Arabidopsis thaliana: one gene and its partners. The protein of the gene in region 1 purifies or fractionates together with the protein of each later gene. This does not show direct contact. Each region holds a gene or a part of one and is shown in the gene's direction. Other genes may lie near its edges.

What was found. The genes of interacting proteins can lie anywhere in the genome.
Region 2: the proteins of AT5G23540 (region 1) and PAF2 fractionate together in Arabidopsis thaliana (co-fractionation; one large-scale study listed by BioGRID). This does not show direct contact.
Region 3: the proteins of AT5G23540 (region 1) and PBB2 fractionate together in Arabidopsis thaliana (co-fractionation; one large-scale study listed by BioGRID). This does not show direct contact.

What each region holds. Positions count from the first base shown.
Region 1 is NC_003076.8:7,934,491-7,941,772, forward strand, and holds AT5G23540 (Mov34/MPN/PAD-1 family protein), read left to right. Parts: upstream 1-3,139; 5' UTR 3,140-3,281; coding exon 3,282-3,411; intron 3,412-3,601; coding exon 3,602-3,779; intron 3,780-3,870; coding exon 3,871-3,952; intron 3,953-4,133; coding exon 4,134-4,310; intron 4,311-4,401; coding exon 4,402-4,569; intron 4,570-4,657; coding exon 4,658-4,849; 3' UTR 4,850-5,114; downstream 5,115-7,282. Other genes in the region: AT5G23535 (KOW domain-containing protein), read left to right, coding at 1,381-1,440, 1,531-1,626, 2,022-2,125, 2,214-2,350, 2,555-2,637; AT5G23550 (Got1/Sft2-like vescicle transport protein family), read right to left, coding at 5,424-5,502, 5,699-5,757, 5,878-5,995, 6,125-6,198, 6,367-6,420, 6,846-6,989. UniProt on the Arabidopsis thaliana protein: Metalloprotease component of the 26S proteasome that specifically cleaves 'Lys-63'-linked polyubiquitin chains. The 26S proteasome is involved in the ATP-dependent degradation of ubiquitinated proteins.
Region 2 is NC_003070.9:17,315,446-17,322,733, forward strand, and holds PAF2 (20S proteasome alpha subunit F2), read left to right. Parts: upstream 1-3,673; 5' UTR 3,674-3,774; coding exon 3,775-4,125; exon of another isoform or gene 4,126-4,972; coding exon 4,973-5,455; 3' UTR 5,456-5,757; downstream 5,758-7,288. Other genes in the region: GAMMA CA2 (gamma carbonic anhydrase 2), read right to left, coding at 5,939-6,238, 6,856-7,007, 7,110-7,235.
Region 3 is NC_003076.8:16,246,755-16,254,614, reverse strand, and holds PBB2 (20S proteasome beta subunit PBB2), read left to right. Parts: upstream 1-3,689; 5' UTR 3,690-3,812; exon of another isoform or gene 3,813-4,055; intron 4,056-4,147; 5' UTR 4,148-4,163; coding exon 4,164-4,307; intron 4,308-4,735; coding exon 4,736-4,877; intron 4,878-5,002; coding exon 5,003-5,099; intron 5,100-5,180; coding exon 5,181-5,250; intron 5,251-5,349; coding exon 5,350-5,454; intron 5,455-5,537; coding exon 5,538-5,636; intron 5,637-5,812; coding exon 5,813-5,900; intron 5,901-6,024; coding exon 6,025-6,104; 3' UTR 6,105-6,329; downstream 6,330-7,860. Other genes in the region: AT5G40595 (uncharacterized protein), read right to left, coding at 536-694, 839-1,105; AT5G40590 (Cysteine/Histidine-rich C1 domain family protein), read left to right, coding at 2,302-3,006; AT5G40570 (Surfeit locus protein 2 (SURF2)), read right to left, coding at 6,364-6,445, 6,532-6,574, 6,654-6,821, 6,930-7,027, 7,109-7,129, 7,594-7,817. UniProt on the Arabidopsis thaliana protein: The proteasome is a multicatalytic proteinase complex which is characterized by its ability to cleave peptides with Arg, Phe, Tyr, Leu, and Glu adjacent to the leaving group at neutral or slightly basic pH.

The sequences.
Region 1 (7,282 bases):
CTGTAATTTTCTATGTTTTTATTGACGTTTATAGTTAGAACAACTAATGAAAATAATCGTTTCAAGGAAACACGTAAACGTAAAAATAGAAAAAAATCTCAAATATTTTGGATTTGGCTTAAGGTTTAAGTCACTAGTTTTCTTCTACTACAGTGTTGAATGTCGATGAAGTCATGTCACATGGCCAACGCAATGGAGTCACATAAGAGCAAGTAGATTCAATCAATGTACATGTTGCAGGAGGCAAGTAATTTCTAATGTCAGAAACCTGCATCAACTAATTTTCAATCTCATTCAATTCTTCTCTATGTTAGATTCAACAGTGGTCATGGGTAAATTTGTAAAAACAAACTTTGAATGATTACAGCGGTCCAAACAGACAAAACCGTTTATAGACCGGACCGCTTTTTATTTACCATTCATAAATTATAATCCGTAATAGTACATACTTAAAAAAAATAGAAGACAACCGCATCGGACTAACTGCGGACAGTCTTTAAACTAAGTCCGCATCGGTTTGTTGTCCGACCCAAAAATGGTATGGACTAAACCGCTACGGATTAGTCCGCACTAACTACAACATCCATTCAAAGCAAAAAGCAAAACAAGAACGAATTTACACCATCATGATTTAGATACACGATATAATCCAGGCATATTTAATCCCGTAGTTACCTTCCAAGTTCAAACCATATAAAAATGTGAACTTCTAACACATCGGAATACAAAAAATTTGGTCTCTAATAATACATCAACAGTGCATCTCTAGTAAAGAAAAGAAAACAGAGCATATATCGTCTCATCCCAATTAATTAAAATCGTTAATACCTAATTAGTTAGTGACTTATAATTTTTTTGGCCAAATTGCGAATGCGGTGTCGTTTTAATGTTTGAAGACATGAGAGGTTTTAGGGTTTATCTTTTTTACACTCACAATCAAAATACTGACGACTTCTTCGCCACCGTGGTTAACGCTGCCTGCACCGTCGGCGGAAAACAAAAAAGCTTCAACTCCATTGGTTTCCTCTTCCTCGATCTCTCGATTAATTCTCAGAGGCAAGCTTCTTCTATTAGACCAAACTTGTTTTCGCATCCTAATTGTCAATTTCGGCGATATCATTTCTAATCATCAATTTTCTCCCTTTTCGAATTAGATCGGAATTATGTATAAATTTTTTGGTTGCGTATCTTTGACGTGAAAAAACCCTAATTTAGGTGGCTTTCCGCAGTTGAAAACCCTCGAAATTGGCCCTGCCATTTTCAATTTCTTTGATTTGGATTCTTCATGCTTTCCGTTTCTCGTTGTTTTTTTTGTTAGAAGAAAGACGTGAATTTGTTGTGATGTAATTTTTAGGATTATTCTCAAAGAGAGTAGCAGCTATGGGCTGGAAAGCTGCTGAGAAACTCATCAGACACTGGAAGATACTTCGAGGAGACAATGTGAGTACACCACTCATGTTCTTCTTGTGGTGTTCATTAGTTTGGTTTCATTTTTGATCTGTTGTTTCTGGGGTATGATTTTATGTGCAGGTAATGATAATTCGTGGGAAAGATAAGGGTGAGACTGGAACCATAAAGCGTGTCATTCGATCCCAAAATCGTGTCATCGTTGAAGGGAAGAATCTGGTGAGATAGTCTTGTTCTGGATATCTTTTGTTCGCTCTGTCTCATGCATTTAGAGAATGAATGTACAAGTTCATTTTTTGATTTTTTTGTTCTTGATTTGGTTTGTAGAGTATGAACTAGTACTGAATCAATATCATATCACTAGCTCAACACCAACCATAGAGTTATCAATTTTCATTTGATTCTCATTTTTTTAATCCAAGCATCAAGTAGACGGTTACTAAATCACAAAGCGACTCTAGTTCCATGGATTTCGCTACACAATTCTTTTGAATTGTTTATCTTGAAACTGTTATCGTTTTGGATGTTCTACCTTGCTGCTGGGATAGTCTTTGTCTACTCACTGAAGCTTGTATATGTTTTTCGCTGATGCTTTTTTTTTCCTGTGTTCTCAGATCAAGAAACATATAAAGGGAGGCCCTGATCACGAAGGTGGAATTTTCACTGTAGAGGCTCCTCTTCACGCCTCAAATGTCCAAGTTGTTGATCCTGTCACTGGGTATGATTTCACTCTGCACTACTGTCTCCAATTACTCTTTTGCTCAAGCGAGAGATCACTTATTAATCTATTATCTTTTCTACCACAGGAGGCCTTGTAAGGTTGGTGTAAAATACCTAGAAGATGGAACAAAAGTAAGAGTAGCCAGAGGCACTGGCACATCTGGTTCCATAATTCCCCGACCAGAGATTCTAAAGATAAGGGCAACGCCGCGACCCACAACTGGTACATAGAAGCTCAATATCTCTTTAAACGTTGGATTTTGGAAATATATAGTGGAAGTCTGTTAGCTATCTGAGAAAAAAACATAATCATAGATCGGCTATAAGATAAACATAGAATCAACATAATTCGTTTGCTATCAACATAATCAACAAACTTGATAGTAGCGGTTTTCTTATAGAAGGATTCATACTTTTCTCTTTGCAGCTGGCCCTAAGGACACACCAATGGAGTTTGTCTGGGAGCAGACATATGATGCTAAAACTGGAAAGGGCATGCCTGATCTTTGAGTTGAAACCTCTCTACAGTTTCGTTTGGAAAATGTTGCCTGCTCTCAAAAAGGATTCTTCTTTTTCCCATCCATTAGAGTTTGATTTCGGTCTAGAGCTGTGAGGTTTTGTTGGAGAACCTTTGATCATGACTGAAACGGAGTCGTTTTCCTTTTTTCTTTCATTGATCTTGTGAACTTTCAAGGTGCCAAATAAAATCCGTCTGGAAAACAGTTCAATATTTACATGTTTAGTTATTGTATATACACTAGCCAGAAGTCTAAACATAAAACGAAAACTATAAGCTCTAAGTAAAGTAGATTTATATTATGCAACCGAATTAACAATATTAACACAATGACATGATTTGCATTGTAATGAAATTTAAAATTTTGACAAAAAAAATATGGAAATTCAAATTGGTTATTAACTTTTATTTTTGGGGATGATTTGGAAATTTGGTGAATTATTGGTTACAATAAATAAAAGGAAATATTGAAGGACTTATATGTAATTAGTGTCGCCTAATCGAGTAATTCGATCCATCTTCGTCTGTCTTGTTAACAAAGAAAACTGAGAAAGGTTTTCTTATAAGATCCCATTCTTGTAGCAAAAACCCAGAAGAACAAACTTTCGAAGAAGACGACTAATCAATTCATCTGATTATGGAGAGACTACAGAGAATCTTCGGAGCTGGTGGCGGTTTAGGTCACGCATCGCCTGATTCTCCGACTCTCGATACATCGGAGCAGGTTTACATCTCTTCTCTCGCTCTCCTCAAGATGCTTAAGCACGGTAATCAATCCAAACCCAAGCTCTAATTTAGTCTTCTCTTGCTTAGGGTTTTATGATTTTGTCTCGTTCTCTGTGATTTTACTCTCGTCCTCTTTTGCTCTGGAACTCTAGGGTTTTATTCGATCTGTTTCTGAGATTCAAAATGCGGATTTGAGTAGAGATTTAATGAAAATTGATCGGAATATTGCAGGAAGAGCTGGTGTTCCTATGGAAGTCATGGGATTGATGCTTGGAGAGTTTGTGGATGAATACACTGTTAGGGTTGTGGATGTTTTTGCGATGCCTCAGAGTGGTACTGGTGTTAGTGTTGAAGCTGTTGATCATGTTTTCCAGACTAATATGCTCGACATGCTTAAACAGACCGGAAGGTAACTAGTTCTTCTCTAAACCTATTTACTACGCTTAAGTGAGGTTTCCTATTTAGGTTTTGGATCTGATTCTTCTTGTATCTTGTTTCAGACCTGAGATGGTGGTTGGTTGGTATCATTCACATCCTGGATTCGGCTGCTGGCTTTCTGGGGTTGACATTAATACTCAACAGGTAGAGTTTTGTTTGCTCTGTTTGCATACTTATCAATTTGTGAATTGCACTTGAGAATTTGTTGTTTGCTTTATTGATGGCTCAAAAAACTAAATAGAATGTTACTCATTGTGTTCTATACCCTGTTGTGATTCACTTTGTATTATATATGTTCATTGTGAATATCTGTGTGCTTTTGTAGAGTTTTGAAGCTTTGAATCAGCGAGCTGTAGCAGTGGTGGTAGATCCGATTCAGAGTGTGAAAGGAAAGGTGGTGATTGATGCGTTCCGCTCCATAAATCCACAGACCATTATGCTTGGGCAGGAACCCCGTCAAACAACATCGAACCTTGGGCACTTGAACAAACCATCGATCCAGGTGATTATCACTAACTGAATGTGTCCTGTTTTTAAGTTGAAACGAAATCAAAGGTTTTCTCTGATACTGACTTTTGGATACTACTATGCAGGCTTTGATTCACGGGTTGAACAGACACTATTACTCAATAGCAATCAACTATAGGAAGAACGAGCTTGAGGAGAAGATGTTACTCAACCTCCACAAGAAGAAATGGACAGATGGTCTGACGCTAAGACGCTTTGACACCCACTCCAAGACCAACGAACAGACGGTCCAGGTAAAGAAACACAGGGTTATGTTTTTATCTGTTCAAGCATATTCTACAATCATGTTCATTGACATTTTCATTATCTCCTGTTTAACAGGAGATGTTGAGCTTGGCTGCTAAATATAACAAGGCGGTTCAAGAGGAGGACGAGTTGTCACCAGAGAAGCTGGCAATTGTGAATGTGGGAAGACAAGATGCAAAGAAGCATCTGGAAGAACATGTCTCGAACCTCATGTCATCCAACATTGTTCAGACACTAGGCACTATGCTCGACACTGTTGTCTTCTAGAGAGCTTACTTCTCCAGCCGCTTCAAGTCATTGAGCTTTGTTCTTCTGCATCTCTTTGGCTTCTACTGAATGTTCTCTTTTTATCTGCTAGCTTTTTACAAGGTTGTACTGTACTATGTGATTTCGTTCGTTAAGGGCAGGGATCGATTTCTATTTCTTTGCATATTATTTTCAGATTTTATTTTCCTCCCATTTTTAGATTTTATGCTGCAACTTTCAAGTTAAGTGCTTTTGATAAGAATATGCAATTTCCCTCCTGGATTAAGTCTTTAGCGTAACCATGACAATGAAACTAAAACAAGTGAAGTTAACATCTTAATTTTGTAGCAAACAGCAATAACATCCAAATCTACGTTAAGTTCCACAGCAAATATACAAAAAACTGTGCTAGGATTTGTGAAGACGTGAACTTGATGTAAAGAGGCAATTATAAGCCATAAAGGGCATGGCACGTTACCGGTGCATCAAACAAGTCCTGCTTTGAACACATTTGGAGGAGATTGACCAATCGTTCAGCCAGAGCATCAAGGTTTTGGAACAAGAAATCTTTGACCTGATGTGTGTAAACTGTAGCTTAAAACTCGGTGTCAAAACAAGTCATGAAGATCTTTGAGACCATGGTTCTTGCAAAAGGGATGTAGCTCAAGCTATACCTGCAGTTTTAAAGAACACAAGGGATTCATTCTCCAAGATGAATGTTGACAGCTTTTGTGACAAACTCAGAAACCGTATAAGGAGCATTAGGTCCACTCGGGATAATATACTATTCGAAGAGTATATATCATGTAATTGTATTACTAAGAAAGTTAGGATAAAAATGTAAGAGCTTGAAAGCAAGTTTTAGCATACCAAATTAGACCAGTGAACTCAAGAATGATAGCCAGCAGTGTCAGAAGCTTGTTGCGAACCTGTACAGAAAGATGATGACAGATTATATTTAGTCCAACAAGGCATTTTCACTACCTAGTTTTAACTGAACATAAGCAATGTTGTGCATCCAGTATTTTGAATTGAGAAACCCCACTTACATAAAGAGCACAAAACAAGGCAATGATAATGCTTGCTAGATACAATGCAGTAGCGTAGATACGAGCTGGGTCAAGCATCATAGTCACCTGCCGCTGTGGGCCTATAAGGAATGCTGTGCTGCCATACAAAAGTGACATGAAACTTAAAATCCAGGAACAAAGAGAGAAAAATGGAGAAATACTGTACACACAGAATTGCGACACCAATGCAATATAACAAGAAGCTACACAAAATTCCAATACGAACCTCCCGAGTGCCATCAAATTTCCCAGAGTGAATGTGATGCCAAACTTGACCGGATTAAAGAAAACAAGCATCGACTGCATCGTCAAACAAATAAGAGATAAAGAGTTATATCACCAGTAAAAGAGCTAAGACAACCCAAAGTACAGAAGAAGAATACAGCTAAACCAATCAAATGATTCCTTTCAATGCAGAAATAAGGATAGTGCTTTCTAACATTGCTAAGACTTGAGAGTTATACTTACCAAAAGTGTACAGGTCAAACCTGCTGACAAGCAAATTGCAAAGCCATAAAATCTCTGTTTTCATAAACAAAAAAAACGAGATATTAGCCAAAGACAAACCCAATTCAAGATAATTTAACAGATTCTTGTAAACGAGACAACACTACAGGTTCATAGAGGAGCTAAATCCAAGTAGCGTCCTAATTTTTTGTAGTAGCAAGCCAAAACTTAGTCCTATTAATCAAACTGTTATCATACCACATGGAATTTTATAATCCTTCTCCTCCAAAAAATCATAGAACTGCTAAACACTTATCTCAAAATCTCTTGTATGTTATTGATCACATCATATGCATTCAATAGGAACTCATTTACATTTCTACCTCAGTGAGCTTACGAGCCTAACTTCTCTAATTGGACGAATACCTAGTCCGCATGTGAAATTACAAAAATTACCAAATTCAGAGGACTTGATCGAAGAATCTGGGGAAGTTAAGAACCTGTTTGGTAGTTAAAGCGCAATTGCGATTAAGATCTTCCATGAATGAGAGCGAGCTTTCTTCATCAGCAGCTTGTTGCTCGTCTTCAACCTCCATACCAACCAACATCTTCATCTTCTCAATAGCCTGATTCATTTTATCCATCTCTGTAAGTCCTCTTTCTGTAGTCTAAGCTCTTTCTTCCTAGTTCTAGTGATCAGATCTCACGCTTCTTCTTCTCAAATTGTGACAGTAGAACTGAAGTATGGTTGGATCTTCTCTGCAAAATTACGCAATGTGTGAGACTGAAAAATGAAAGAGACACTTTTCTTCGTAGGAGGAGAAAAGAAGAAAAGGCTTTAGTTGTTGGGCTTATTTTAAATTAAAATAAACTTAGCCCAATTGTTGGATCCATTAAGGTTTTATTTTCTTATTTTAAAAATTTACACATCCATTAA
Region 2 (7,288 bases), on another chromosome or scaffold:
AATCTATCATTAATGGCATACCTAGTATTGCTGTAACTTGTCTTTCTCCTTTGTTGTATACTTGTTCCTTTTAATTTTTTCAAAGAGGAAGTGGTGTGATCGTTAAATGCTACTCATCTCTCTTATTATATTGGGAATGTCTCGATAACAAGTAGGGCTACAATATACTAAAATATTTTTGGGCAACAGTGCTGACAAGCTTTTAAGCCACATAATTTTGAATAATTATGATTTTCCTCTAAGCTCTCGCAGGGCTGCTAATCGACGGAAGCAGTCGTCATCAAACTTATTACTGAATTGTATTAAAATTGCATGCATAACAACAATAAATCATGTTTTTTAACACTAGCACATACGTCATGCGCGACGTGTCGTCAATCTGGTGGATGGTTAGTGATTCTCCTTTGTTATATTTATACGAAACATGTTGTTTCTGGCCTTTGTTCCACCCCTTCCCCCAATGCAACATTGGAACCCGTATATAACACTATCACCGCATTTAAGGCAATGGATACATATCAAATATTTTCCTACGGACTCTTTACATTGTCAAATCGCAAATAAAATGTGCCGACTAGATTATATAGCAAGTTGCATACTAATGATTACTGCTATTACCAAACATTTCATGTAATGTATGATCTCTACAAGTTGATACTTTGCCGAGGCTATAACCCAATACACAATTTCCAACTCAGGCCTATTCTTTTCATACCGCGTTTGCATATAGGAATTACATGAGTTGTTTTTAAATAACGTTCTATTTTACAGTTACCAATGACCTTTTTATCTGTTAGTCTTCATTAAATAACTAGTCGCATACAAAGTAAACATCTCTATATATATGGTCCGTTTTTGGCATATCTAGTGATATAAGTTAGGGTTTAAATATCAAATGCATCTGTAATTGAAAGTATGTGGTTTATAGAATTAAAAAAAAAAGAAGGAACAAATACATATATATATATATATATATATATATATATATATATATATCGTGTGTTTTATAAATAAAGCGGATTACTCATTACCTACGCATGTTTACGTTCTCATTAGTAATTGAAATCTATAAGTTATGTGGCTCATCCAGAACAACGCCATATATAGATGGCGTGTGTTTTATAAATAAAGCGGGTTACTCATTATCGTGTGTTTTAAATGCTACTCATCTCTCCTGTTATATGTGGAATCTTTTGCTACGAAGTAGGGCTACAATATATTAAGACATTTTCCGCAACAGTGCTTACAAGCTTTTAAGCCACATAATATTGAATAATTATGATTTCCCTCCAAACTCTCGAAGGGCTGCTAATCGATGGAATCTGTCGCTTCTGTAAATGTCGCATCAAACATATAACTGAATTGTATTTGAATTACATGCATAACCACAATAATTCATGTGTTTTAACATTATCGCAGACGTCATGCGCGACGTGTCGTTTATCTGGTGGATGCTTAGTGGTTATCCTATGTTATATTTATACGAAACACGTTGTTTTTGGAATTTGTTTCACCCCTTCCCCCAATGCAACATTGGAACTCGTATATAACACTGTCGCCGCATTTAATGCAATAGATACGTATCAAATATTTTCCTACGGATAGATTTACATTGTCAAATCGCAAATAAGATTTGGCGACCATATTATGTAGCAAGTTGCATACTAATGATTACTGATATAACGAAACATTGCATGTAATGTATGATCTCTATAAGTTGATACTTTGCCGAGTTTATTGCCCAATACACAATTTCCAACTCACGCCCATTGTTTTCATACAGCGTATGCATATAGGAATTACATGTGTTGTTTTTAAATAACATTCTATGTTACAGTTACCATTGACCTTTTTATCTGTTAGTCTCCATTGAATAACTAGTCGCATACAAAGCAAACATCTGTATATATATATGGTCCGTTTTTGACATATTTAGTGATATAAGTTAGTGTTTAAATATCAAATGCATCTGTAAAATCTAAAAGGTATGTGGTTTATAGAATTAAGAAAAAAATGAACAAATACATCTATATATATCGTGTGTTTAATAAATAAAGCAGGTTACTCATTATCTACGCATGTTTATGTTCTCATTGGTAATTGAAATCTATAAGTTATGTGGCTCATCAGGAACAAAAACATATATAAATGGCGTGTGTTTTATAAATAAAACGGGTTACTCATTACCTACGCATGTTTATGTTCCCTACATATAGACACCTAGTGTCGGAACTCACGAGTTCCCGTCTATTTTTCCAGGTTATTTTGGTTATTTTACACCCCAAGAAAAAACTATTTACTAAAGTTTTCTGACGTATGACTATTTTGCTAATTTGTATGTCGAATTTGGCTAGTTAGCTAATTGACACAATTTTAATACTCTTTGTTTCCAACCAAATAATACAAGATTTTATCAAAAACAAAATATCAAATTAAAAATCTAATAACATGTGACTTTATTTGTTTAGATTTCTAAATTAATTTTATTCCAAACCAATTTAAACTACACATGCTAAATTATTAATTTTCATAAAATTAGAAATAATAAAATACAATAACTTGTAATTCCCTCTAGTCCATGAAGTTTGATGTTTTAAATTTTACTTTTGTTTCACAAAAGTTGATGTTTTAAATTAATATTATTTTCATTAGTGATCAATAGAGAAAGGAAAAAAAGTAGAACTGATATTATTAAATTAATTAAAAAAATAATAAATGAATTATAAACACGAGAGGGAGGCAAGAAAAAACTACTACAACAAGAGCACCATCATCGGAAAATACTTCATGGAGAAAACCGACAGTTTCTTTTGTCAAGTGCAATTTCGATGCGGACTTACACAGGAATAGTACTTAAAGTACGGGTGGATGGATTATACGAGACCATGAAGGGATAGCAAACACATGAGGATCTTCAATTTTAGATCATGTCAACACTCTCCTAAAGGCTGAGACGAAAGCGTTACTTGTGGCGATGCAACAAATTTGGATACAAAAATACAAGAAAGTACAATTCCAAAGAGATTGCGAAGTCCTCATTAAAACCATCAATGGCAAGTCTAATAGAAGTAAAATTGCTAATTTACTTCTAGATTTAGAGTATTGGTCTTCAGATTTTCATCTATTGTATTTACTTTCACAAAACGTCTTTGTAATAGTATAGCTCACCATTTAGTTTTCCTAATTTTACGATTTTTGTGTTTTAAGCGGACTATTTTGCTTCCCCAATTTTTACGATTTCTGTGTTCAAAGCAGACTTTAGGAACGAGCCAATTTGGTTCAAAAACCTTCTCTGTAATGATCTACATTCATAGATTAAAACATAGTTTGCAGTAAGAAAAAACAATAAAAATAATATAAAAGTTATTTTTTTTAATTTGTGAAAAATCCAAAATATCATTGTTTTAGGATCAGAGGGAATAGTAAATTTATAATCAGTGTAGTGAAAAATGTGTAAATAAATAATGTAAAACCAATTGAAACTGCAAATGTTAAATTATGAATTAAATTAATTACTATAAAAAGAAATAATATAATGCTAAGTATTTATTTATAAAATTATAATCCTTTTAAATGTGTAAAAAATAATAAAGAGTAATGGATAATTAAACCCAGCCCATTAAGTTTCATAAGCCCATTTTACTCTACTGTCTTCTTTCTCTTTTTTTTGACAATCTTTACTTTCTTCTTCTAAGCTCTATAAGAGAGACCATCCTCCTCTAGCTTGAAGCAAACGAAAAGCTTTTGAAGAACAGAGGAACAAGAAGAAGAAAGATGTTCAGGAACCAGTACGACACAGATGTGACAACATGGAGTCCCACAGGTCGACTATTCCAAGTCGAATACGCCATGGAAGCTGTGAAACAAGGCTCCGCAGCAATAGGACTCAGATCTCGCTCTCATGTCGTCCTCGCTTGTGTCAACAAAGCACAATCAGAGCTCTCTTCTCATCAAAGGAAGATCTTTAAAGTCGATGATCATATTGGTGTTGCTATTGCTGGTCTCACTGCTGATGGTCGTGTTCTCTCTCGATATATGAGATCTGAGTCTATTAATCACTCTTTTACTTATGAGTCTCCTCTTCCTGTTGGTCGTCTTGTTGTTCATCTTGCTGATAAAGCTCAGGTAAATTGAGATTTTTGGGTTAACTTTTGAATTTTGACCTAGAATTTGCTAAAGGGTTTAGTTTTATGATGTGTGAGTATCTGAAAGTTTGAAGCTTTATGTAATTGGAGTAAAGTTTAGGTTTTTATTAGCAATGTGGCCAATTTTATTTGTAGAATGTGTGTGTTGTTATGCAAGTAGTGATATTGGTTTGTGATCAAGTCTTAGTGATTGGGAATTAGAGATTCTTGTGTTGTTAATCATATCCAGTTCTGTTGCTAGTTGCTTAATCCGATTAGAAAGAGTTAACCTGTATACCCACTTTGACGATAGAAGTGTATAAGAATGTGATGATTTTGGTCGTTTGGTTGTTTCTGTGTTGTCATCGTCTGTTCTCTTTGCTTGATAGAGTTGTTTTTGCTTGCAATTCTAGAATAAATATACGTCTTTGTTGATCTCTTTTTGGTTTTGTGGTTTTGACTTGTATTACTTTGCATTTGTTTACTTACTTGTAGTTGTAGTATGTCCTGGCCACTTTATTTACTTGCCTAATGAAGTATATTTTCAGTAAGATGTTGGTTTACAGTTGTGATAGAAATTTGTGCTACATGTTCACTACTTTTGGTGTTAAACGTAGTGTTCTCAAGTTAGATGATGTGTTCACAATTTTTAAAAGGTTTGATTGCTACGTCCCACTTACTTTCATGTCTGTCAAAAATTAAGTTAGCTGCTGTATCTACATTTTCAATTGATTTCTGAGAACGTATTGATATCAGTCTTGTAGTTTGAACAACACTCTGATTTCATTCAAATGTTAAGTCATTTGTTTGTCTTGTATTAAACATCTTCATAAATTATCTTTGAGCAGGTATGTACCCAACGATCATGGAAACGGCCTTATGGTGTGGGTTTGCTGGTAGGTGGATTGGACGAGTCAGGAGCTCACCTCTACTACAACTGCCCTAGCGGAAACTACTTTGAATATCAAGCATTCGCTATCGGGTCTCGTTCACAAGCTGCGAAAACCTATCTGGAGCGCAAATTCGAGAGCTTCCAAGAATCATCAAAAGAAGATCTGATAAAAGATGCTATTATGGCCATAAGGGAAACTTTGCAAGGGGAAACACTGAAGAGCTCGCTCTGCACTGTTTCTGTTCTAGGAGTCGATGAACCATTCCATTTCTTGGACCAGGAAAGCATTCAAAAGGTGATTGATACGTTTGAGAAGGTTCCTGAGGAAGAGGAAGATGCTGGTGAGGGTGAGGCCGAACCCGAAGCTGCTCCTGGTGCTGCTGGAACTGGTGAACAAGGTGGTTCAGGTGATCAAGATGTTGCACCAATGGAAATTTGAGCAAGAGGGAATGAGTTCAAAGTTGGATTTTCTAACCAATTTTCTTGTGTGTAGCTCTTTGATATGTTCCAACTTCCAAGTACAATTGTGGTTTTTATTCGGCTTTGTTTATTTAACAGCTTGGAACAAGGAGTTATTGAGTGCCACTAGCTTATGTTTAGTCCTACTTAAGTCAAATCTGTCACATGATAATAATAATCGGCGAATCGCCAACCTAGAGAGTGTATCAAACAGACACCATTTTGAATGAGAGAAACAGCGAGAGAAAGAATGAAAGATTAATCCAACTTTGTTTCTCTTTCTGCAAATTGTTCCTCGAAGAAATGACTTCATAATGCAACCATACATTATTGAGCAAGGATGATAAATCTCCTGCTTGCTCGGAAGAAAAGTTAAAACCAAAATAATATCTCTCTTGACCTTCCAGAGAATCAATCCTGTCTTGAAATGATTTCAACACACAAAAACAACCTGAGATTGGAATTAGAAGTACTGAGTAGACGGAACCTTGGCGACGGGTTTACCACCTGGTAAGACATTGTCGGGAAGAATCAACTCCGGTGGAGTTTCACGGGTAATCCCAAGCATTGAATCGTAATCCTCGTCCTTGCGTGCATACTTCTTCCTAAGCGCTCTCTCAACCTCGATCTGCTCAAATGACTTTGAATTCTCTGAGGCGTGAATCTGTGCGAGATTGATGTAATTCTTTGCTGACTGTGAGATGTATACTATCTCTTCATCTGTTAACTTTCTCATGAACTTTGCTGGATTTCCTCCCCACACCTGCCACATGAAACTGATAACTTATAGATATGTCCTTGTAAATATATTCTCAGGTTGACGGTTGAAGAAAGTAGTTCAAAAGCATAGCGATATAAGAAATCCGTCTAATTCCTCATAAAACATTGGAAACACAAGAACCCTCTGTTACTCCCAACTCACCCTTGTTTCATATACAAGTAGAATTGCAACGGAAACAAAGGTGGTTCTCAGATTTAGACGATATATAAATACTATTTACTCTTCTTTTTGATCAAAATATAATACAATTTACAGGCATATCATTTCATTAACTAATTCTGTATCAACTAAATTGTAAGCAAAGCAAAAGTGGATCTACTTGAAGAAGTTCAGCTGGTCAAGCCTTAGCTACAGGTCAGCGTAGGACTAAATGCAGCAGACTACAGCTGCTATTACTTGGTTAATTAGCAGTTCGTTATTAGGCTTGGTAGAGCTTCAGGGTCCGTGATAAGTAAACCTAGCTAGAGTTCTATTTTTGGTTCTTGATACTTTGGATTTTCTCGTTCAGTTTAGTGAGAAATAAAGCAGTTTCCAGTTCCAGTCTTATCACAAACTCCGTAAGCAGTAAACCAGAAAAGATAAAGTGGAAAGAAAGAAACCTCTCCAGAAGGGATTCGCGTGTTCTGTTTCACAAGAGAACCAGCAGCAACCATGGCATGTTTCTCAACCACCACACCATCAAGTAGTGTTGCTCCCATACCAACAAAAGCATCATCCTCAACAGTACACCCATGAATGACAGCACTGTGACCTGCTCCGTTTCATTTTACAAACAAAACCTTTAACTAACAATCGTGTAACACAACATAAAAACAGATACTTCAAAACTGATAAATCGCTTTTTAAGGTTTACCTACTGTTACATTGTCCCCAATCAGAGTAGGTAGAACCTTGCCACTTATGTTGGTCTTTGCAACATGTACAAGCGTATTATCTTGGATATTCGTCCCAGATCCAACACTGATGTTATTCACATCACCTGCACAAGTTAGAAACCCAGATTAACATACAATAAGTTTCACAGCTACTTCA
Region 3 (7,860 bases), 8.3 Mb from region 1:
GAGTTAGGTTTTATGATCTACAAATAAGAATCCTTAATCAGGAATAATGCCAAAAGTTATGTTGATAATGACTCCTGCGTATGAGTTAGGTTTTTCACAAATTACCAAACAAATGTTGTACTTTTTCATCAAAGGTTTGTTCTTTATCAGTCATTAAAGATCTAAAAACTGATTTTCTCATTAGAGAATTGACTGTTGAAGACTTGAGAGTAGTTAAGACATATGCTAGTAGTATGTGAGACTGAGTTTTAAGTAATTTTGGAATATTTACTTCCAAATTCCGCAAATAGAATCTTTAGGGTTATTTTGTAGTGTAAGAGTTTTGATTTGAGTACTTTGTTAAATCGTCATTTTTAGTTATCTATTGGCCTTAAGAGTCAAGCATTGTGCTTAATATTAGATTCACACTCTTCAACTTGATAATGATAATTCGATATTACGACATACATTATAAAAGTAAAAACTCAGATGCCTGGATGAGTTCGGAAAATAGTTGCATGAATCTCTTGACTTTGAATCCCAAATGTGAACCATCTTAGTTCGATTGACTCGAATCACTCGTCATGTGTCGAAACATGATTGTGCAAGTCGCTGTGTGGGCAAGATTCTTCATCATGGCGAAGACTAAAACAAGAAGCACAGTAGCCGAAAAGGTTTGAACAGTTCCTAGCTCATTCCCTATTCTCCGGAAATCCTGATCAGTTCAGAAATCCCGAGGAACACCCACGATTCGGACCCAAAATGTGATGGCCGATGGGTAGTCCTTGTGTATAATCGGTTCCCACCTTACAATAGAAAGCATCCAATGATTATAATTGAAAGTCTCCGTTTTCATCACCTCAAGAATATCTTCCTCTCTCTCGAAATCTAACCTGAACGTTCCCAATCCCAAGTCCCTCCCAACCACTTGACCCTCTAGTTTCCAGATTCTAGGCATCATCAAAACTAGTGATCCAACACTCTGAACGTCAGGATTCATAATCTTTCCGATAAGTGTCGTCCTCTTTAACCTTCTGATTAATTCCGAGTTGTCAAACATGCGAACTCGAATTGTTCTTGGCAGGGGCTTAATGCCCTTGCCATTGTTTTCTCCAAACCGCGACATGGTACCGTAAGAAACCGAGTTTGATCGTATGTAATGTCAATGTGTGAGTGTGACCTTGTCTGAATATTAATCTAATTTATAACACATAAGATCATCGGTGAAACTGCTACATGAATGAATCACAATTCGAATCATGAGGATCTCTTACATAATATTAACATAAATTGACAAGTTATTTTTGCATGATTGAATTCCATTACTGTTCCCCAGTGATTCTAATTTTTTTGACTAAGGAAACCATATCAATAATCAAGGATTCCGTAATCTGTTTATTATGACATTTCTATTACAGGATCCATTATGATTCATCCCACACGAAGATTTTCAAACTTGTGATTGTGAGCGTAACATAATCGAATCGATTACAAAGATATAAACTAACTAAAATATGTTAATTTATATTTTGTTTTTTTATATATATATATATTTATGATTTTAATAAAACAATCATATTATTTTAATGCGTTGTTGTTTTTGTTTTCACAATTCTATTATTATTTCGAGCATCTCTTATTTTTGTATCTCCACCAATTCTTTTATCATTTTTTATCATTTCTTATAAAAAAGTGTAATTCAATCATTTTACAATATAGTATGTATGCATTCCAAAAAACATTATTGTATGAAACGAAACGAAACGAAACGAAACGAAGGAGTAGACGGTGGATATCAGCCTTAATTAATTAGAGTCAAAGCATTGTGATTAGTTTGACTTTTACATCCGTCACTATGTCAACGTTAATGTATTTATCCCCAACTTGCTAATGATAGAACAATATTTATTTTGATTTATCTTGAATTTCAACAGGTTAATTAGCTAATTATAGTTATAACATTTAAAAAAAACTCAGATGCGTGAACAAGATCGCAAACTAATTCCATGCATAATGCATCTCTTGACTTTGAAATGCATTTCTTGACTTCGAATCCCAAATGAACCATTTTGTTATATACTTAATATATAATATATTATATATATATATAACTTAAAGCGTGACATTGTTCTCCCAATTATATAGTTAATCACTATAAACTACAACTTGGTTTGATAGTCAAATTCAAAACCAAGACTCAATATCACTAAGTCTTCTCCATTAACGCTATAAATAGATTGAAATCCTAAGCTAATTACAATCACAAACACAAACACAAACAAAACGCCTCTCAATACTAAATCAAGAACATTGAATAAAACAATGTCTTCACGACAATCGGTGAGGCACCCGAGTCACAACCATCCATTGCGCGGTCACAAATGCGAAGCCAAAGACGAAATCATCTGCTCCGGTTGTGATCTCGATCTGGTTGGTGCAGCTTTCAAATGCACAAAGTCATCAGATTGTGATTACTTCTTGCACAAGTCATGTTTTGAACTTCCACGTGAAACCAACCACAAATCTCACCAACCCCACACTTTGACTTTAATCTATTCCCCAAAGTCAACGTACACGTGTAATGCTTGCGGCGAATACGGATCAAGTTTCACGTACAACTGTTCAATCTGTCAGTACGATGTACATGTCGGATGTGTTTCAATGCCTGAAACAGTGAAGCGTGAAGATCACCCACATCCACTTACTCTTCTTTACGGTTCTCCTTATAACCAACCCGGTTTAGTTTCCAAATGCGATGTTTGTGAAGACATTGTACCGGATAATCTCTGGTCGTATTATTGCAAGGAATGTGATTACGCTACGCATTTACACTCATGTAAGAAAGAGGAAGAGGCAAAGAAAGAAGATCAAAAAGGAGAAGGAAGTAAAAACTCGATGAATTCGGAGTTAGCTGCAATGTTAGAGGCTCAAAGAGAAGTGGAGAGGATGCAGATTGAGATGCATTTGGCGATGCAAAGTGCTTTGATTTCGAAAAAGGCGAATAAGGCAGCTCTCAATTGCATCTAATTCGAAGAAGTTGGGATTCTTCAAATTCTCTTTACTTGTGTCTGTTTTTCTTCTTTTTGTTGCTTTTTCTTGATTTATGTTGTTGTTGCTCCTGCAAACTTTTCATGTTGTTGTTGTTGTTGTTTTTTTCTTTGAAATTGTTATCTGAAATAAAAGAATTATCAGTTTTTTTTTTTGAACGATTATTGCTGCTTTCGTTTTTGTAACCATGTTACCTTTGCATACTATGTTTCAAGTTCCATAATCCATTTTATATTACTATAGGAAAAATATATAAGTATTGGATCACCCCTACTTATAGATTAAAAATATTGGGAATAAAGTATTGAAATTGTGAGATTTGGGGTTATTTAAAGTAGTTTGTGTTAGTGTTATCGATGTGTTAATAACGGATGGTAAAATAAAATCTAAAGTTTAAGATTTAATTATATCTATATTATCAATATAGTATTAATTACATTTTATTTTATATTTCTGTCAATGTTATTTGTTCGTAAAATCAAATTGATCTCAAAACTGAATAAAAAACAAACAAATCCAGACCTTGCAAATGCAAACACACAATTAGAAGTGATGATGTCAAGAAAAACACACACACAATTAGAAGTCACATAATCATTAGGGAGTTAACAAATGGGCTCATTTTGACAGAAGTTAAGCCCATTAAAGTAAAGATAGGCCCATTTATAATAGAGCCTCAAAAATAGTTTAATTGAGGAAGAAGAAAACTCTCTGCTAAAGTTGCTTGCTTTCTTCTTCTTCTCCGATTCGAGCTTCCTTCCTCTCAGCAAAACCTTCAAGTAAAGGTAACATCACTCTTCTATAAGCTTAGATTTTTCACTTTTATTCTTCATACTGTCGTCTCCCTGGATTCTATCTTCTCGATTTTGGTGATTCGAACACGATTTTACCTATCCTTGAGCGATCTCGATCCCAACTTTTTGAGTTGATTTTATTTCAGGAGTTTTCAAAAAATCTGTTGTTAGTATGTGATTATTAGTTTCTACACTCTGTTCTTCTGGTTTCGTATCATCAGCTAGCTAGCTTTGGTTCTCGAATTTTGCTTCTCAAGATTCAAATTTCACTTCGTTACTCGTTTTTTTTTGTTTGGGTGATGATTTGATTTTTCCTCATTTTGTAGAGTGGTGAATCGGAAAATGTCGCAGTCTTCCGTCGATATACCGCCAAAAGGTGGGTTTAGCTTCGATCTGTGCAAAAGGAATGATATGCTGACACAGAAGGGTCTTAAAGCGCCGTCGTTTCTCAAGACTGGAACGACTATCGTTGGATTGATATTTAAGGTCTTTGTTTCTATCTCACATTCTCTACAATGTAATGGGTTTTGGGTTTTCTTTTATAGCTTTTGAATGGTTAGCATAGTGTTATTGTTGGATAGTGAGTGCTCTATTTTGGTTGTTTGCAAGTTATGGAACTATGGAAGTGAACATAGTGACCTAAGATTTAAGAATTGTGGGCTAAGATGCAAATGTGATTGAACTTGTGTTTGTGGATGGCTGCTTATCAGTGAATTGGGCACCTGATAGCTTTAGATAAGATAACATGAAAGTCTGAGGTGTTGTTGCTTTCTCAACCCTTGACCATATGACATCACGTTGATGTTTTTATGGTCTATTTACCTCTATATTCTACAACATTTTATGAAACATGTGATTATGATGTGACATTCTCTTTTAGATGATTACTGATTTCATTTATCTGTTTTGTATAGGATGGTGTAATACTTGGGGCTGATACACGGGCAACTGAAGGGCCTATTGTGGCTGATAAGAACTGTGAGAAGATTCACTACATGGCACCAAACATTTACTGTTGTGGTGCAGGAACCGCTGCTGACACTGAAGCAGTAACTGGTAATTTTCTTAACTTCCAAATTTCTTTACTGCTACCCTAGATCAAAGTTGAATTTCTCGGAACTTCTGTTAACTCGATCAAAACCCAATGCTTAAGTTATTTTGATTGCTATTTCACTGTTCAGATATGGTCAGCTCACAGCTGCGGTTGCATAGATACCAGACTGGCCGAGATTCTCGAGTCGTTACTGCATTGACCCTTCTCAAAAAACATCTTTTCAGGTATTTTTGCTTCACCATGCTCAGAAAATTGTTATCTTTACTAATAGGCATACATAATTTAACTTCTCAAGTATCATTCAGCTACCAAGGCCATGTCTCAGCTGCTCTTGTGCTTGGTGGAGTTGATATTACCGGGCCTCATCTTCACACGGTGAGTTTCAAATTCCTGATCAAAATTCTCAGCTGTAGAAAGCCTTTTTCAGGTTCTTTCATTTTGTATTCCATCTCTAATGTTCTGGTCAAAATGCAGATATACCCACACGGTTCTACTGACACTCTACCATTTGCTACAATGGGTTCTGGTTCCCTTGCTGCCATGTCAGTGTTTGAAGCAAAGTATAAAGAAGGTCTAACTGTAAGTAAAGCAGAGACATTTATCTTTATGTTGTTTAGATCTCTTCTTGGCTGTTTGTTTGATGATTGACTCAAATCTTCCAGAGAGATGAAGGAATCAAGTTGGTTGCTGAAGCCATATGCTCTGGTATATTCAACGACCTTGGTAGTGGTAGCAATGTGGATATCTGTGTGATCACTAAGGTTTGTCATACTCCATCTTCCTCTGCTTTTAATAGATAACTGAAGTATCTAGAAATTCGTTTGCTTCATGACTGACAGATATTAAGCTAAACCAAAGTGATTCGCTACAAAACCAGTACTCTGGATTACCTATATCTTCGATTTGAAACTGATTGTTTGAGATGATTTTGGGACAGGGGCACAAGGAATACTTGAGGAATTACATGGAACCAAACCCAAGAACCTATGTTAGCAGCAAAGGCTATTCATTCACCAAGAAAACCGGTAAGAATCTACTTGTTGCAACACTTACTCGTCTCTGGTATCAGTCATGATTATTGAAGTGTTAAACTTGGTTTAATTCGATCTTCCTCTTCTTCTTACTGTTTTTGTTTCTCTGTGAAAACAGAGGTTCTACTCACCAAAATTACACCATTATTGGAGCGAGTCGAAATTGTAGAAGTGGCTGGTGAAGCTATGGAGGAATGAATCTCGTGTGAGAGACAGATACTAAGAGTGAAACCATTGTTCTACCTCACATGACAGTCATGTTTACATTTTCTACTTTGTTCAATATGAACGACTAAAATCGAATCGTAGTTGCCTCCATTTCGTCTTTAAATTTGGCTTGAACTTGTGATTAATGATTATGGATGATTCGGTTTTGAAATTTAGCTCTCACATAATTTTCAAAAGAGCTCTTTCTTACAAACAAAATTGTGCTCTTTCTTTTTTTGTCCACAACATCTTAAGACAACTCATCATTCTTACTCTTTTTCTTCCTAGAAGCAAAGCTACTTGGTCCAATCTCTAGTGACATTCTCTTTGTTCTGTAGAAGAGACCAAATTGAGTTATTATGAGACACAATCAAAAGGATGATTGTAAAAAAAGAGAAGAGCAAATATAGTAATGTACCTTTCTGAGAGCTCTTCAGATTCTTTGTCATCACAATGAGAACCTGTACCCAAATCAGATGCAAATCTAATTAAAGTTTCGATATGAGATGACAGTAGAACCAAAAAACAAAAGAGAGCAACCTTTACAGTTTTCTTCATCAGTCTCTTCATCTAACTCTGAATCAGAACTTGACTTAGGCATCCAAAAGTCGGATTCCTCAGAACCAGAATCTTCCTTATTGTGTCTTGGATTGTTTACTTGTGTTTCCTCAGTCCTTCCGCTTGATCCAGCTCCTCTTTCCACTTGCTCTATCAAATTTATCAACATCAAAACATTATAAGCCAAGACATACTAACTAAGATTCATTACACGATTTCAATGAATCTGATATCATGGGAGAAACAATTTTTATAGACCTAATTTGTGAAGAAATCTTTTCCCATTCACGTGTTTCCAGATATGTTCCTCGTTCTTGTTCACAGTATCTCCAGTTAGCTTGCACACAAGTTTCGAGCTGAGAACATAGCCAAAAGCAGGGAGAAAGCTTATAACTTGTAACCATTTTCAATACTGGCAAAACCAGAAGAAAGCTTACAACTTTAAACCATTTTCGATGCTGCGAACAAAGCCAAAAGGCTCAAAATCAGAAGAAAGATTATAACTTTTATAACCATTTTCAATGTATTCCACACTGACTGAAATTAACAACCAATGCTCCTCAGTGGTCTAAAGAAAAAACAAAATTAACCAGCTTTTTACTAGTAGCAGAAACTATGAAGCAAGGATCTAAACGAAACTTGAGCTAATACAATCTGAAACTCTAGAGAAATCCAAAGTCACAACTTTTAGCTCTCAAAACAGTGAAAGTTTCATCCTTTCTTGCTCAGAAAACAATCGAAGTTTCACAAAATAATCAAAACAGAGAGAAACATCATAACCCTCCAAAATTAAAGCTTGAATCGTGAGATTAGTAGAATTTGTGGATGATTCAATCTTACACTCTTATAAACCTAACCCCCAACTAAAAAAATCTGATTTTCCCAGAAACACACAAAAATTTGAGAAACTTATTTGACTAACCGAGAAAGTGGGCATTGCGAGAACATGTTGAGAGGAGGCTTTCCTAGAGACAAAGCGTGATTGATGAGTCCTAAACGACACCGTTTGTTACGAGCGTATGATTCTACGTCTCCCGCTAAAACCTCGTGACCAGTCTCGACGCATCTGAGCCGTCCGTTTCCAAGATCAACGAACGTCGGAGACCCAAACAGACTCTTCCCTTCTTTCGCCTTCTCCTTCATCATCGTCACCGATTCACTTAAGCTTAAGGAAGCATAGACTCTCTCT